Linked DNA regions of Schizosaccharomyces pombe. Changing the gene in region 1 together with any one later gene gives a genetic interaction. Each region holds a gene or a part of one and is shown in the gene's direction. Other genes may lie near its edges.

Evidence for each region. Genes that interact genetically often act in the same process or in processes that back each other up.
Region 2: mutations in nup124 (region 1) and xks1 together harm fitness less than expected from each alone (positive genetic interaction), as found in Schizosaccharomyces pombe (one large-scale study listed by BioGRID).

Annotation. Positions count from the first base shown.
Region 1 is NC_003424.3:1,108,895-1,117,896, forward strand, and holds nup124 (nucleoporin Nup124), read left to right. Parts: upstream 1-3,280; 5' UTR 3,281-3,319; coding exon 3,320-3,570; intron 3,571-3,613; coding exon 3,614-6,842; 3' UTR 6,843-6,974; downstream 6,975-9,002. Other genes in the region: transporter Hfl1, read left to right, coding at 161-1,216; AP-3 adaptor complex subunit Aps3, read right to left, coding at 1,223-1,399, 1,862-1,915, 1,958-2,224; ddx27 (putative ATP-dependent RNA helicase Ddx27/Drs1), read right to left, coding at 7,163-7,308, 7,353-7,473, 7,521-9,002. UniProt on the Schizosaccharomyces pombe protein: Nucleoporins may be involved in both binding and translocation of the proteins during nucleocytoplasmic transport. In S.pombe it is required for the nuclear localization of retrotransposon tf1.
Region 2 is NC_003421.2:704,310-708,736, reverse strand, and holds xks1 (xylulose kinase), read left to right. Parts: upstream 1-1,838; 5' UTR 1,839-1,960; coding exon 1,961-2,929; exon of another isoform or gene 2,930-3,014; coding exon 3,015-3,509; exon of another isoform or gene 3,510-3,560; coding exon 3,561-3,764; 3' UTR 3,765-3,927; downstream 3,928-4,427. Other genes in the region: protein meu15, read right to left, coding at 9-62, 121-397; retromer complex subunit Vps5, read right to left, coding at 4,400-4,427.

The DNA of each region.
Region 1 (9,002 bases):
GGCAATCAATATATTGCAGATTTGTTTTAAAATGCTTGAAAAGGGGTTGACTGAAAGAGTGGTTTGGCTGTTATGAGTTGTACTATGTTGGTTTACTAGTTTAGTTAGTTAATGAGGCGTAATTGAGGTTTTAATGGAATAATTTCTAACAATAAATTAGGCATTCGCTTTGTATTGCTTTTTCTGTTTATTAATTGATTATCTTGGCGGAGAACGGGCTGCAGTTATTAGTTTGCATGGACATCTGCCTCGTCCTAGGTTATGGCCCTTGAATTATTTGCAAGATGATATTGACCTAAGTGATCCTTACACCTTCCTTTCTATAAAACGTGGGATTTTACAATACACTTGGCTTAAACCATTTCTGGTGATTGCCGTGCTGTTAACAAAAGTCACCGGAGTCTACGACAGAGAAGATCAACCTGTTTATGCTTCTGCAGACCTTTGGATAGGTCTTGTTTATAACATTTCAATTACGCTTTCTTTATATTCACTAACAACTTTTTGGGTTTGCTTGCATGAAGAGCTCGCTCCTTTTCGCCCTTTCCCAAAATTCCTTTCCGTTAAAGCTATTATATTTGCCTCTTACTGGCAGCAAACCGTTCTTTCCATTACAAACTGGCTGGGACTTTTAAATGGAACAGGCTGGATTTACTCCTTACTAAATCAGAACGTTCTCATGTGTTTAGAAATGCCCTTTTTTGCCCTCTCACATTGGTACGCTTTTCGAATCGAGGATTACGATACACCCACATGGCTGTCTTGTGCAAGACTACCGCTCCTTAAAGCCTTTAAAGACGTAATCGGGTTGAAAGACGTCTGGTGCGATAGTTTGCAAACTCTACATGGAGATCGTTATGTATATCAAAATTTTGAGCCTGGGGAGAACTTAATACCTTCAAGAAACGATGGAAGGATTAATAGAACAAGTCATGGTCTTCGGTACAGTCAGGGAGGTCAATCGAAATACTGGATTTCTCGATATGATCAATCTCGAGTGCGTCTCATTAACAATAGTCAAAACTCTCCACAATCAAATAAGTCCTACTTTTCTATCCCAGGGATGTCAACTTCACATTTCGAAAATGGGCTCCAATTTGAAATAGACGATGAAATGGAACCATTATACAATCAAGCGAAACAGATGCGTTATGGTGATTATAATTATCCAGTTCTTCTAGTGAACAATACTCATGCATCTTCTTCATATACATAAAAGTCACTAGAACCTAGTAGCAAAAGAACTTAATGTATTGCTGAATGGCATTGCATTGGACCGTTTGGTTTTTGGCATTTGATTCTGAGCTGCCAAAACAATTTCATTCAGATTTGTCTCTAAGACAAGACCACCAGATACTACCTCAGCAAGAATAGCATGTATTTCTTGGAATTTAAAAACCTATATTGTGTTAGATCTTTCTAATTCGCTTTCAAACAGATGGCTTTCAACTCTTCTAATTATTTCTTCCTTCAATATCCTTTTTTTTTGGCGTATACACTTGTATTTGGATAATTATTACTAACACCTCCTCTTTTTTTTCATTGGAGATTGCGAATCATCGACAATGAGACTCTACTTCCAGTTCTATGCATAATTTCTTTCTTGAAGGCGATGAGAAGTAAAGGAATTAGGAATTAAACTCTTGTAGTTCCTAAGTTCAATAAATGATAAAAATAAATGTTATGCTCTTTTGATAATCGAATATTGGACAAACATTAATGTTTCTTGTAAGGCCAAATTTCCAAACATTCGAAACCAAATAAGAAAAAAACAAATTAAATAAAAAAAAACGGAATCAATGGTTTCAAACATATAGCAGTAGGATAATGGGAAGATAAACGAGTAGTGAAATGTACTTACCAAATCAAGCTCGCAAACATTATTAAAGCATCGATCTAATGCTTCAACAAATACCTTTAATAGTTAGAAATTGGAAAGTAACTAATTTCAACTTACTTGAATGAGATCGAGAATTCCTAGTTCACTTTCACCTTCATCTACTACAAAAACGAAGTAGAGAGTAGCGTACTGGCGATAAATTATTCTATTTTTACCTGCAATTAAATTACTTTCCAAAAAATTACAAGCGGTTGGGGGCCTAGTGGATACAGCTGCATATATATCTCCTATTAACTTTTGTTGAATGGATTCATCAATTGGAGTGTAAAACTTTGTGAGACGAGGTTTCCCTTTATTGTTAAATATAAAAACAGCGTAAATCATGACAATAGAAAGGGAAAGCTGGCAGAACCCAAATATGCAGTGCTTGGTAAACGGCAAGCTGAAGTTTAAGTTGAATATACGTTAATAGTAGTTTGGAAGAACCAGGATCGACAAATTTCTTTCAATGCCTTAGTTAATTTGCTATATTTAAGATTTTCATGGTTTTATATTTATTGAGTATATTATTTATCCACTATTGAACCAAAGATCTGTTACTGAAATTCATAATGTCTAGTAAACAATTTTTGCCATGCCTTCAATGATCTCTATAACGAACTACTTTGTATACAATTTAGGAATAGAAAAATAGGAAAAAACATTTGTCTTCCACCAATTTTTGAATTGATGGTTATGAAATATTCAAATAGCTACATAGTATGTGACATCTCAGTAATAAGTAGACACATACTAATAGTTATATGAGGTGATCCCACTATTCAGTTACTATAGGTATATATTGGTAGCTTTTTTTTGATTAATATACTAATTAAGTGAATATTTGCATAATATGATTAGCAATGAACGCTGCCTTGCTATATGGGAGGCACTTGTTTTAATCAACACTACTATAGATGATAGTAAAGCGAAATTCCAATTACGTACGATTAGACAGTACGTGCCTAAGTGTTTTTCTATGAAAATAGAACTAATCATTTCTTCATACAATGTAAGCTGATTTAAACGGAAGAATTTAAGTATTGCAAGTAAGTTGCTAGAATATTAGACAGCCTAAAACTTGATAAAGCGAATATTGACGAAGCTAAGGCTCGTGGACTACTGTTGCAATCACCACTTTACTGGTAACGAGATTAAATAGAATTTGATATCCCATTTTTTTAAACCGAAAACAAATTGTATTAACATATTCCATCTTGCTTAACACCTTCAAATAACTCCCTTTCTTCTCGTATTAAACATTTTTACGAAACGTGTTACAATAGTCGTACAGTTCCTACGACTACGATATTGGCATATAACAAATAGCGCTACCAGACAATCAATAAGTCATTAGCATGAAAAATAATTGCCACGTAACTAAACTCGCTACTTCTCATTAACCAACGTCTTCTAGTAGTTGTCGATGAGTTTGTATTGATGCCTCCTGTTTCAAAAAATACTCGCACTTCATCAAAGACTGTTAAGAAACCCTATGACCCACCTCAGGGGAGCTCAAGGCCCTTTTTTACGGTCTTGAAACGGGCATTTTCATCTGTTTTGCACCCATTCACCAGTGGTCTAGACGAGAAAGCTTCAGGAACGGCTAGCAAGGATAGAAAGAGTGGAAGAGCAGGTACAAAAAGCCTGCTTACTCCAGAGTTAACACCTCATTATTTAGGAAAATCTCCGTAAGTTGACATTTTTGTCGTGAAACATATTAACATTAAATAGAAGAATTATTCGCGTTAGTAATCGGAGCCATGTTAGAACAATTGATGGAATAGAGGAAAAAGTTCATACGAATACATTTGAACCTAGGAAGCCAAAGCAAAAGCAAGATTATACTAATTCCCCAACGCTTTTTAAACGCCATGACGAGTTGTCGTTAAAATCACTTAATTCGCTTCATCCTTCTTCTGCTTTATCCAAAAAGTTGGGCAGCACTTCTCAACATCAAATTGCAACTCCCAAATCCTCTGCTTCATTGCTCAATATCCTTCGGTCACTTCACGATGAGCAGAAAAATACCTTAAATATATCAAGTGTAAAACAAGATCGTATTACCGAAGCTAATCCTACTTGTGAGAAGCGCAAGCCTTCTAGAAGTCCCAGTCCTATGCTTTCCAAAAAGAAATCTGTTGCTCGTGCCTCTGAAAACGAGCCCTCAGCTAAGCAGAACAAAAGCTTTTCTGGAAATGATTCCCATAAGAGTCTTACCGACATTAGAGATAAGGAGAATGGCGAAACAGAGGTCTCAGCAAAAAATCACGTTCCTCACCGCTCCTCTCGGCGACGTCGTAGACACCAGCGGCTTATCCCTATCATTTATGAAACTCTTGAACAGATGGATTTAAGGAAGCCTGTATTAGTCAATGCAGAAGTTCAGACAGATTCCAACCCCGGTAATACAATGTTTATTGATAAGCAAGATATTTATCACCGGTTAAGTACACCCACTTCGCGTAAGCGTCAGACTCTCGAGAAAGGTCATATTAAGGCTTTTTCTGCAGTTGATGAGGATTTGGATGAAATCTTTGCTTGCGAAGATGACGTTCATTACACCGCATTACCCAAACAAAATCCAAAATCTGAGCGTATATTAGAACCTATAATAGCATCTCCCAAGGATAATACAAGTGACAAGGGTTTATTGACGAAGTCCGCCCCTACCTTTGAAGAGCTTCAAGCCTCTATTACCCCTAAGCCTGTAAAGACTTCTCCGAATGATACGGCACTTACTCTCGCGAACGCTGAGGATAATAAAACCTTTGAACATCAGCCATTGTCAAAGGATACAGAAGCGCCCAAAAGCCAATTTTCCTCATCGCCGACAAAAGAATCTACAACTAGAAAGTCCGAAGTTGAACCGCCATCACCTTCTAAGGAAATCAAATCTTCTCACTTTTCAGTACCCGAATTTAAGTTTGAACCGAAGACTGAAGCTACCACGGACAAAAAATTAAATGTACCCAAATTTGAGTTTAAGCCAACTGCTACTGCTGATGTGCAAACTAATCGTTTGAAGGAGAATGAGCCCAAGCCAACGTTCTTTGCACAATTACCGTCAAAGACTCAAGAGACGCCAAGTATAACTGAGAACAAGCCTTCATTTTTTTCTCAATTAAGTCCAAAACGAGAAGAAACAGAAAAGAAGGACAACGCTCCGTCTGCTCCTGCTTCAACTTCTGGTTTCAGCTTTGGAGGATTCGCACCTAAAACCCTTGAAGAGAAGGAAGAAACGAAAGCTCCTACGTTCAATTTCTCTTTAAACAATGCTTCTAGTACACAAGACACAACAAAACCTACGCTACAATTTAATTTTGGAAGTAGTTTTGGAAAGCCAACAAGCAATATTTTCAATGACAAAAAAACTTCTGAAAATGGTCTAGCTAGTTCTACTGTTGCTTCTGAGTCAAAACCGTCAGCTCCCGAATCAAAACCGTCCTCGGGTTTTGGAAATACCGCAGGCTCATCACCCTTTTCATTCAATTTGACCAAGGAGTCCAAAGAAGTCCCACCTACAAATTCCTTTTCTTTTGCTAAAAAAGGGAAAGATGAAGCGAATGACAGTTTGTCAGCTAAAGCTTCTACTCCATTTTCGTTTGCAAAACCTAATACTGAAAATGTAACAACAACTGCTCCTCAGTTTTCATTTAATTTTACCAAGCCAAATACGGATGCCAAAACCAATTTGCTACCTGAAAAAACTTTTAATGAAGAAGCCGTAAAGCAAAAGGAAACTGAAAAAGAGGTCCCTCCAACAGGTCCAAAAGCTTCTGAAATAAAGGATTCAGTATCTTCTAATAACGCTGTGCCCTCTTCAACCTTTAATTTTGTATCTCCCTTTGCTGCTGTATCTGAAAAAACAAATGAGAATAACATTCCTAACGATACAACGAAGACGAATGGCAATGCTACTAAGAGAACTTTGGAACAAACGGAGGATGCAAAGCCTTTTGCTTTCTCCTTCGGTTCCACTACAGAACAGGCAAACAAAAAAGCCTCAACGTCAAATGAAACTACGAAGCCTCAATTGGATACATCTTCTAAAACTGATGGAGTAACTGCTAATGCGCCGTTTAGTTTTGCATCAGCTTTTAATGCACCTAAACCCTCGACTAATACTGCTGATGGCAAAGATTCTGCTTCGAATCTTACCACTCCTTCACCTGCTTTTTCATTTGGAAACAATAGTGGTGTTAAAGCATCCAGTAACAACAATCCCTCTACAAATTCGTCTACGGCACCGTTTTCTTTTGGTACATCAAATAAACCGGCATTTAGCTTTGGGTCTGCAACTTCAAAGACTACCTCTGAAGGAACCGCTCCAGCTGCTTCTGCTTCTGCTCCTGCTCCCACTACGTCTGCATTTTCTTTTGGAGCATCAAATTCTAGTATGAATAAGGAAGAGAACACTCCCATGGCTAAGGATGCTGGAGATACGGCACCTGCGTCTGGCTTTAAGTCTGGGTTTTCGTTCGGTGCTAACAATTCGCCTCAGCCTGCTTCTATGTTTGGTACATCGACGCCGGCCCCGTCTTCCGCGTTTGCGTTTGGCAACCAGTCAGGCACGAACCCAGCAGCTCCTGCAGGGTTTGGAGGGATTACTAATACTGCCACTAATAACCCTCCTAGTACAGGTTTTACATTCACTCCATCAAATGCTGGATCAACTGCGGCTCCTATGTTTGGCGCTGGAAACACTCCCAACCCATCCGGGTCCATCAATAATGCATCACAAGCATTCGCCTTCGGGTCAGGAGAACCTAGTAATCCAGCTAGTAATCCACCTAGTACCGGATTTTCGTTCGGTGCGGCTACTCCGTCTGCCTTTAATGCAAGTGCCTCACAATCACCAGCGCCCAATGGTATTCAATTCAATTTGGGCTCTTCTAACTCACAAACAAATGCGCCCCCGGGCCGTAAAATTGCTGTGCCCCGAAGTCGAAGAAAACGTTAAATTAATATTATGACATGTTGACAAGACAATATGACAAAACATTGCGGTTGGGTATATGATAGTTTAGATAGACTTTGTCCTTTAAATTAATTGCTAAGGAATAATTATTACATTTTTGTTTACACATACGGACGCTTTTATTCTTATTATATAAATTAAAGTACGAGCTTTTTGTAAAGGAGGTCTAACCAAGTTACCCATGAGACACAAAACCCAATTTCCATTATACATATGAAACCCTAATATAATCTAGTATCTAAAAAATTCAAAACCTAACCAAACACTTATCATTTGAAAATTTCTCCCTTTCACGTATTCACCTATTTGCGCTTAGATTTCGATTTTTTTGTAGACTTTTTGTTGCTAAGTCTATCATTCTTTGTCTTCTTGTATGCTCGGGGCACCTCTTCCTTTTCCATTTGCTTTTTTCTTTTAGCTAAAGACTTTTTATCTTTCGCTTCGGAGGCTATAATGTTAGCAAACATATTTTTTTATTTCAATGTCACATACCTTTAGAAGCTTGTTTATCTTTTTCGGATTGAAACCAGGTACGTGCTGGACGAGAACGAATTTCATCACCATATTTCATAATGTTTTCGCCTTTCTTTAAATCGCGTTCGGCAATTTTTAGCTACATTTGTTAGAAAAAAAATTTATATACTTATAAAAACAACATACTTCTCGTTCTTGTTTTTCTTCATCTAGCACTTTCTGAACAACAGGTTCCAATTCCTCAATTTCTTTACCAAACTTTTCAACTTTGTTAAAATCCAGATTACGGTTGACCAATTTTGTGTTTTGCGCTGAAGAATTTTTGAATACACCTTTAAGAACTTTGCGATCGCCCTCACCGGCTAATGTAATAGCTCTACCACTCCTGCCAGCACGAGCAGTACGACCAACACGATGAAGATAAACTTCGTGAGTAGCTGGAGCTTCGTAATTTATTACGACCTCAATGCCTTTGATATCAATACCACGAGATGCAACATCTGTAGCCAACAAATAGTTACATTTTCCATCACGAAAGTCTTCCAAAGCACGGACACGCTGTTCTTGCGACAATGAACCGTGGATTTCGGTAGCGTTTAAGGATAAAAGGCCAAATATGACTCGCATCTTGTGAGCAAAAGCTTTGCTCCTGAAGAAGATAATAGTTCTTCTATGAAATAATTCCTTGCAGAGATAGATAAGCATAGCTGGGCGAAGTAACTCACGTTGTGGTCGAACACGGACAAATTCCTGAGTTAAAAGTTTGGCGGTAGTTTTCTTATTATCGACAAAAACTCGTACTGGCCGATTTAAAGATAAACGAATTAAATCATCTACTTTATCAGTCATAGTGGCCGAAAAAAGCATCGTTTGTCTAGACTTTGGACAAGCTTGAATAATTTCATTCAGTTCATCAGCAAAACCATCTTCCAGCATACGATCGGCTTCATCCATTACCATAATCTCAATGTTTTCCACAGTGAATCCTTGTGAATTGCGCATATGATCAATAAAACGACCCGGGGTGGCGATGACAATGTCAGGACGTTTACGAAGTTCCTGCTCTTGTAACTTGAGGGACAAACCACCGATACACAGACAAACCATAATGTCAGTAAAAGAGGCAATTTTCGTAGCAACGCTATGACATTGCATAGCAAGCTCACGAGTAGGACAAAGGATCAATACTCTTGTAGTAGGGACCTTTTTGGGACGGTAGAGCAAACGCTCCAAAATAGGAACAATGAAAGCCGCTGTCTTACCACTACCAGTAACTGCAGCACCAACGATATCTTTACCTAAAAGTGCAAGTGGTATTGTCTTGTCTTGAATCTGAGTTGGCACTTCAAAACCAAGATTAGAAAGGCCCTTTAAGATAGGGCGTGACAAATTCATAGATTGGAAAGACGAATGTGTAGTGGTCATCATAGATTTTTCTTTATCACCTTCAGCAAAGAAAGCATTTTTCTTAGCAATTTCCTCTTCATCTTCTTCGCTGTCGGAGGAACCAGCAGCAGAATCGGAATTGAAATCCTGAGTAGAAATATTGGCAAAAGAAGGAACAGGCTCAGTAATATCATCTTCCTCTTCGCTTTCACTTTCATCTTGGGAAGACTCGTCTTCATTTTCAGCAATTGCGCCTGCACCGAATCCATCAATTGCTAAGTC
Region 2 (4,427 bases), on another chromosome or scaffold:
TTAGTTACCCTCGTTGGGGCGATTTTTTGCCGCTTCGTTCCAAAAATCAGATCTGAGTTTATCTAGACGATTAGATGGTTAGCAATTTATTTAATAGTTTTACGCAAAGGGAAAACATACAGCACCAGCAAACATAAAGAGTGAGATACAGTTCGTAGTATAGCATCTCGATAATAAAAATCCACTTGTAGGGAACTTCATAATGTTCCAACGCAAAGAATATTGGAAGTAAACCAAGCAGTACCCACCAAGTTTGGATGAGCGCAATGCTGCATAACCACCAGTAACTAATTTTATAAATTTTTTTAATCTCTTCCAAGGGAAGAACTTGTGGTTTTACCTCTTGTAGGTTTGCTGCACCACTTGCGGCTTCATAACTGGGCAAAGTTTCCTCCATTGTGCAATATCTAATTTGTTAGAATGAAATTAAGATGAAATACATAGGCAACTATAAAAGCGACTAAAATCAAACTAAAAAAGAAGGTCTGTTTAAATAACAGTCGCAAATTTGTGAATTGAGCGTGCAGCATTCTCACCTACCTTTCTCAATCTGCAGAGGTAAGAGATCCAAAGAAGGCTAATTTATGTACTTAAGTTTTTTGTTTTAAAGAAATTGGAAAAGAACAAAGGAGTAAGCCTCTTATAAGCAACTGTTGAGGGCATTATGTATGCATATACAAATGCCCTTGACGACAAAACAAATACTATAGAATTCGCTCAACAATACGCAGAAAAAAAAACCGTACAGCTAAACGTCTAGCCACCCCTGGCTTAGCTATATTGATTTTGTAAAAATAGACTCAGAAGTAAAGATTACGCTATCTTTACGACACCATAACTGACAATGTTTTGCTAAAAGAAAACTAATTCTTCGCTCCAAAAACTCTTGGAATTTGTTTAATCAATTGATCAATTAACGAAAAAGTTTATGTAGCGATTTCGTGCCATACTCGAGAAATGGCTTATTGAAGGTTTGGAAAAGTAAATAATAAGAGCGATTTACCAGCTTACAACTATTTTCGGACATTTGAGGGTCTCTAACTTCAAAAGAAAAGGAATTTATTTCGGTATAAACTGTTCATGTTTAGACAGCTTCATTTTAAAAAATATGCTGGTTTTTTCATTAAAGATATTTTCGGCCTCATACTTTTGAGATGTAGCATTTTGTTTTAGCTAAAAAACATGTTACTCATTGAAAAAAATAAGCTTAACAAAACGAAAGTAAGTGGTTCGTTTCTCTAAGCTTAAATTAAGGACGCACATTACGCATATCTTAAAATGATATTTCAGGATCTTTGTGATAACGAAGCCTAACCACAACCATATAGGATTTGTATTATTTCTTGCTTTATTACATACCATTGCTCAGTTCTGAGTACAATTAACAAACAAGAAAATATTAAATTTATTGAAGTAATAACTTTTTAACGATTTTTTAAGTAAACGACTTCATTTCTCCTTCTTTTCGTGTTCTCCCAGAGTTCAGTCAATTGTTGCTGAAACAAGAGTTTTTAGCTTTATTCCTTGTCAGTATCAAACTTTTCAGCCATTTTTTTATATTGATATTCGATTTTGAAACGAATATCACTTTTTTTCAAAGAGTTTTTTGCCAAACGTGTTTCCAACGCGTTGTTTTTCTCTAGAGTAAACAAGGTACCTTACCCCAACAACACTCTGAGTTTTTTTAAGCTAACGTTTGAAAAGGTTTCGGTAAACTGTATCTAAGGTATTTTTACGAACATAATCGTAAGTAAAAACGGACATAAGTCACGGCTAGAACTTTTGGATGTCAATGGTTAACGATATATATATTGATCAGACATATAACTGCGGAAAATACAGCTTAAGGAAGGCGCTAAAACGAGATTTTTCTGTTAATTTGATTTTGTCGAAATTCATTCTTTCCGTTTCTTAAGTACAATATATCGACAGTCATTTTAAAGATTTGACTTTTGTGAATATGTTTTTAGGTTTGGATCTCTCAACTCAGCAGCTCAAGGGCGTGGTCATTGATGAGTCTTTGAACGTGCATCAAGAGGTTGCCGTCGATTTTGATCGGGATCTAAGTGATTACAACACTATCAAAGGGGTCTACAGGAATGGATATGAGGTTTTTGCTCCAGTATGTATGTGGCTAGACGCCATCGATTTACTGTTTGAGAGACTTAAGGCTTCTGTGGATGTTAGCAAAATACAAGCTATATCTGGTGCCGGTCAGCAACATGCAAGCGTTTTCCTGCTTAAGGGAAGTAAAAAAGCCCTCAATTCGTTGGATGCCAAATCTTCTTTAAAACAACAATTGGAAAGTCTCATTCATCCAACATCTCCAAATTGGCAAGATGCCAGTACTACCAAAGAATGCGAGGAGCTTGAATCTTGCATTGGTGGAGCCAAAGCACTAGCGGACCTTACTGGGTCTAAAGCTCACCTACGCTTTACTGGACCCCAAATCAAGCGTTTTCGTCGTTTGCACCCCGAGACATACGAAAATACCGAACGAATTGCACTTGTCTCTAATTTTCTAGCCTCGGTACTTCTGCAAACCGAGGCACCTTTAGACATCAGTGACGTTTGTGGAATGAATCTCTGGGACATTCAGAATGAGAAATTCGATATTCGCTTGTTGGAAGAAGTTGCTGGTAATTCTAAAGGACCCGACTTGGCTAACAAACTAGGTACGGTTGAGATTAACGGGGCAAAACATCTAGGACCAATTGGGAAGTATTTCGTTAAGAAGTATGGGTTTTCTCCTAACTGTCAAATCATTCCTTTAACTGGAGATAACCCTGCCACTATTTTATCCCTTCCTTTAAGACCGGGAAAAGATGTACTATTATCATTGGGTACTAGTACTACTGCTCTAATGGCTACTCAAAACTATGTGTGTTCTCCAGAGTATCACATGTTTGCTCATCCTGTTACGCAGAACGTAAGTTGAACTTGACTTTCTTTTGGTGAAGTAGTTGTTCAAAACTCATCATTTTCTCTGGTTTTCTAACTAACATGGACTTTAGCATTATATGGTAATGTTATGCTATAAAAACGGTAGCTTAGCGCGGGAACAGGTAAGAAACACAATCAATGAAAAATATAATGTTTCGGACAATACCAGTTGGGACCGCTTTAATGAATCGATTTTGAACCCCAACATTAAAGGTGCTGGTGAAAAGAAACAGCTCGGTCTTTTTTATCCACAAAGGGAGATTTTACCCGCAGTTGGACCGGGTACGTGGAGATTTGCAATCCAAGGCACCGAGTTGTATCAGGTGGATAAAGATGAAGAATCATGGGATTATCCAGATGAGGATGCTTCTGCCATAGTTGAAAGTCAAAATCTTGATATCCGCATGCGGATTACTCCTTTGCTAACTGGTATACCACAACCTGATCGTGTTTATGTTGTAGGAGGAGCTAGTCGTAACGAGGCTATTGTGTTTAAAATTAGCCAGGTTTTGGGATGTGATGTTTATCGGCTAAAACACGGCGGTAGTAATGCCTGTGCTGTTGGCGTAAGTGAACGGAAAATGTTGTTAATTAATAGTTACTGACCATCAATTTAGGGCGCTATCAAGGCTGCATATGCAATGAATGGAAAAGGATTTACCTTTGAAGAATATGTAAACAAATCTTGGGATGAGTCCAAGAAAATTGAACTAATCATGAATAAACCATCCGCCCAAACTTATGAAGAATATGGAAAGCTTTTACCTTTCCTCAAAAAGGCTGAAGACATTGCGATTCAACAGTCAGATATCCGGCATTGAATTGATTAAATGCTTTTCCATTTCGCACTTGATTATGTGATTAGCTATTGATATAACGAGATTATTAATGAAAGCGAAATCCACTTTTTTTTTTAAAAAATATGAATAAACCTTAGGATACAAAATGATAAACGTTTCCTACATGAACATTTTTTTGAGCTATCGTTTTGAGAGCTTTGAATCACGAGTCTAAATTAAGACAAATAAATATGTAACATAAAGTAGTCATACACCATATTATTAAACAAATTTTTGCATACGCTTTTACATATAAGTAACACAATTTAAGCAGGAAAAAGCGTTTAAACATAAACAAATATAAAAAGGCTTGAGTAACAAAGACAATTTTTAAAAACATACACAAGTTATTTATTTACAAAGGAGTGTAGGGTTGCTGTAAGGTTAGTAGATAGAATGCAATATTTTAAGGTACATTTTCTTTTCAAGTAATGAAGTACCATGGACGAAAAGGGAAATTGCAAAAAAATAATTAGAATAGAATAGAAATCGTCAGCTAGAGAAGTGCAAAGTAATAAAGCGGTAGTTGGAAATACATTAATACGAATATGGGATAGAAATATTACACGAAAGAAAAACATAAAAATTAAAAGAGTGCATAGGGAAAATTAGAGTCGTTATTGATCCAAAAATGATTCCCAACGC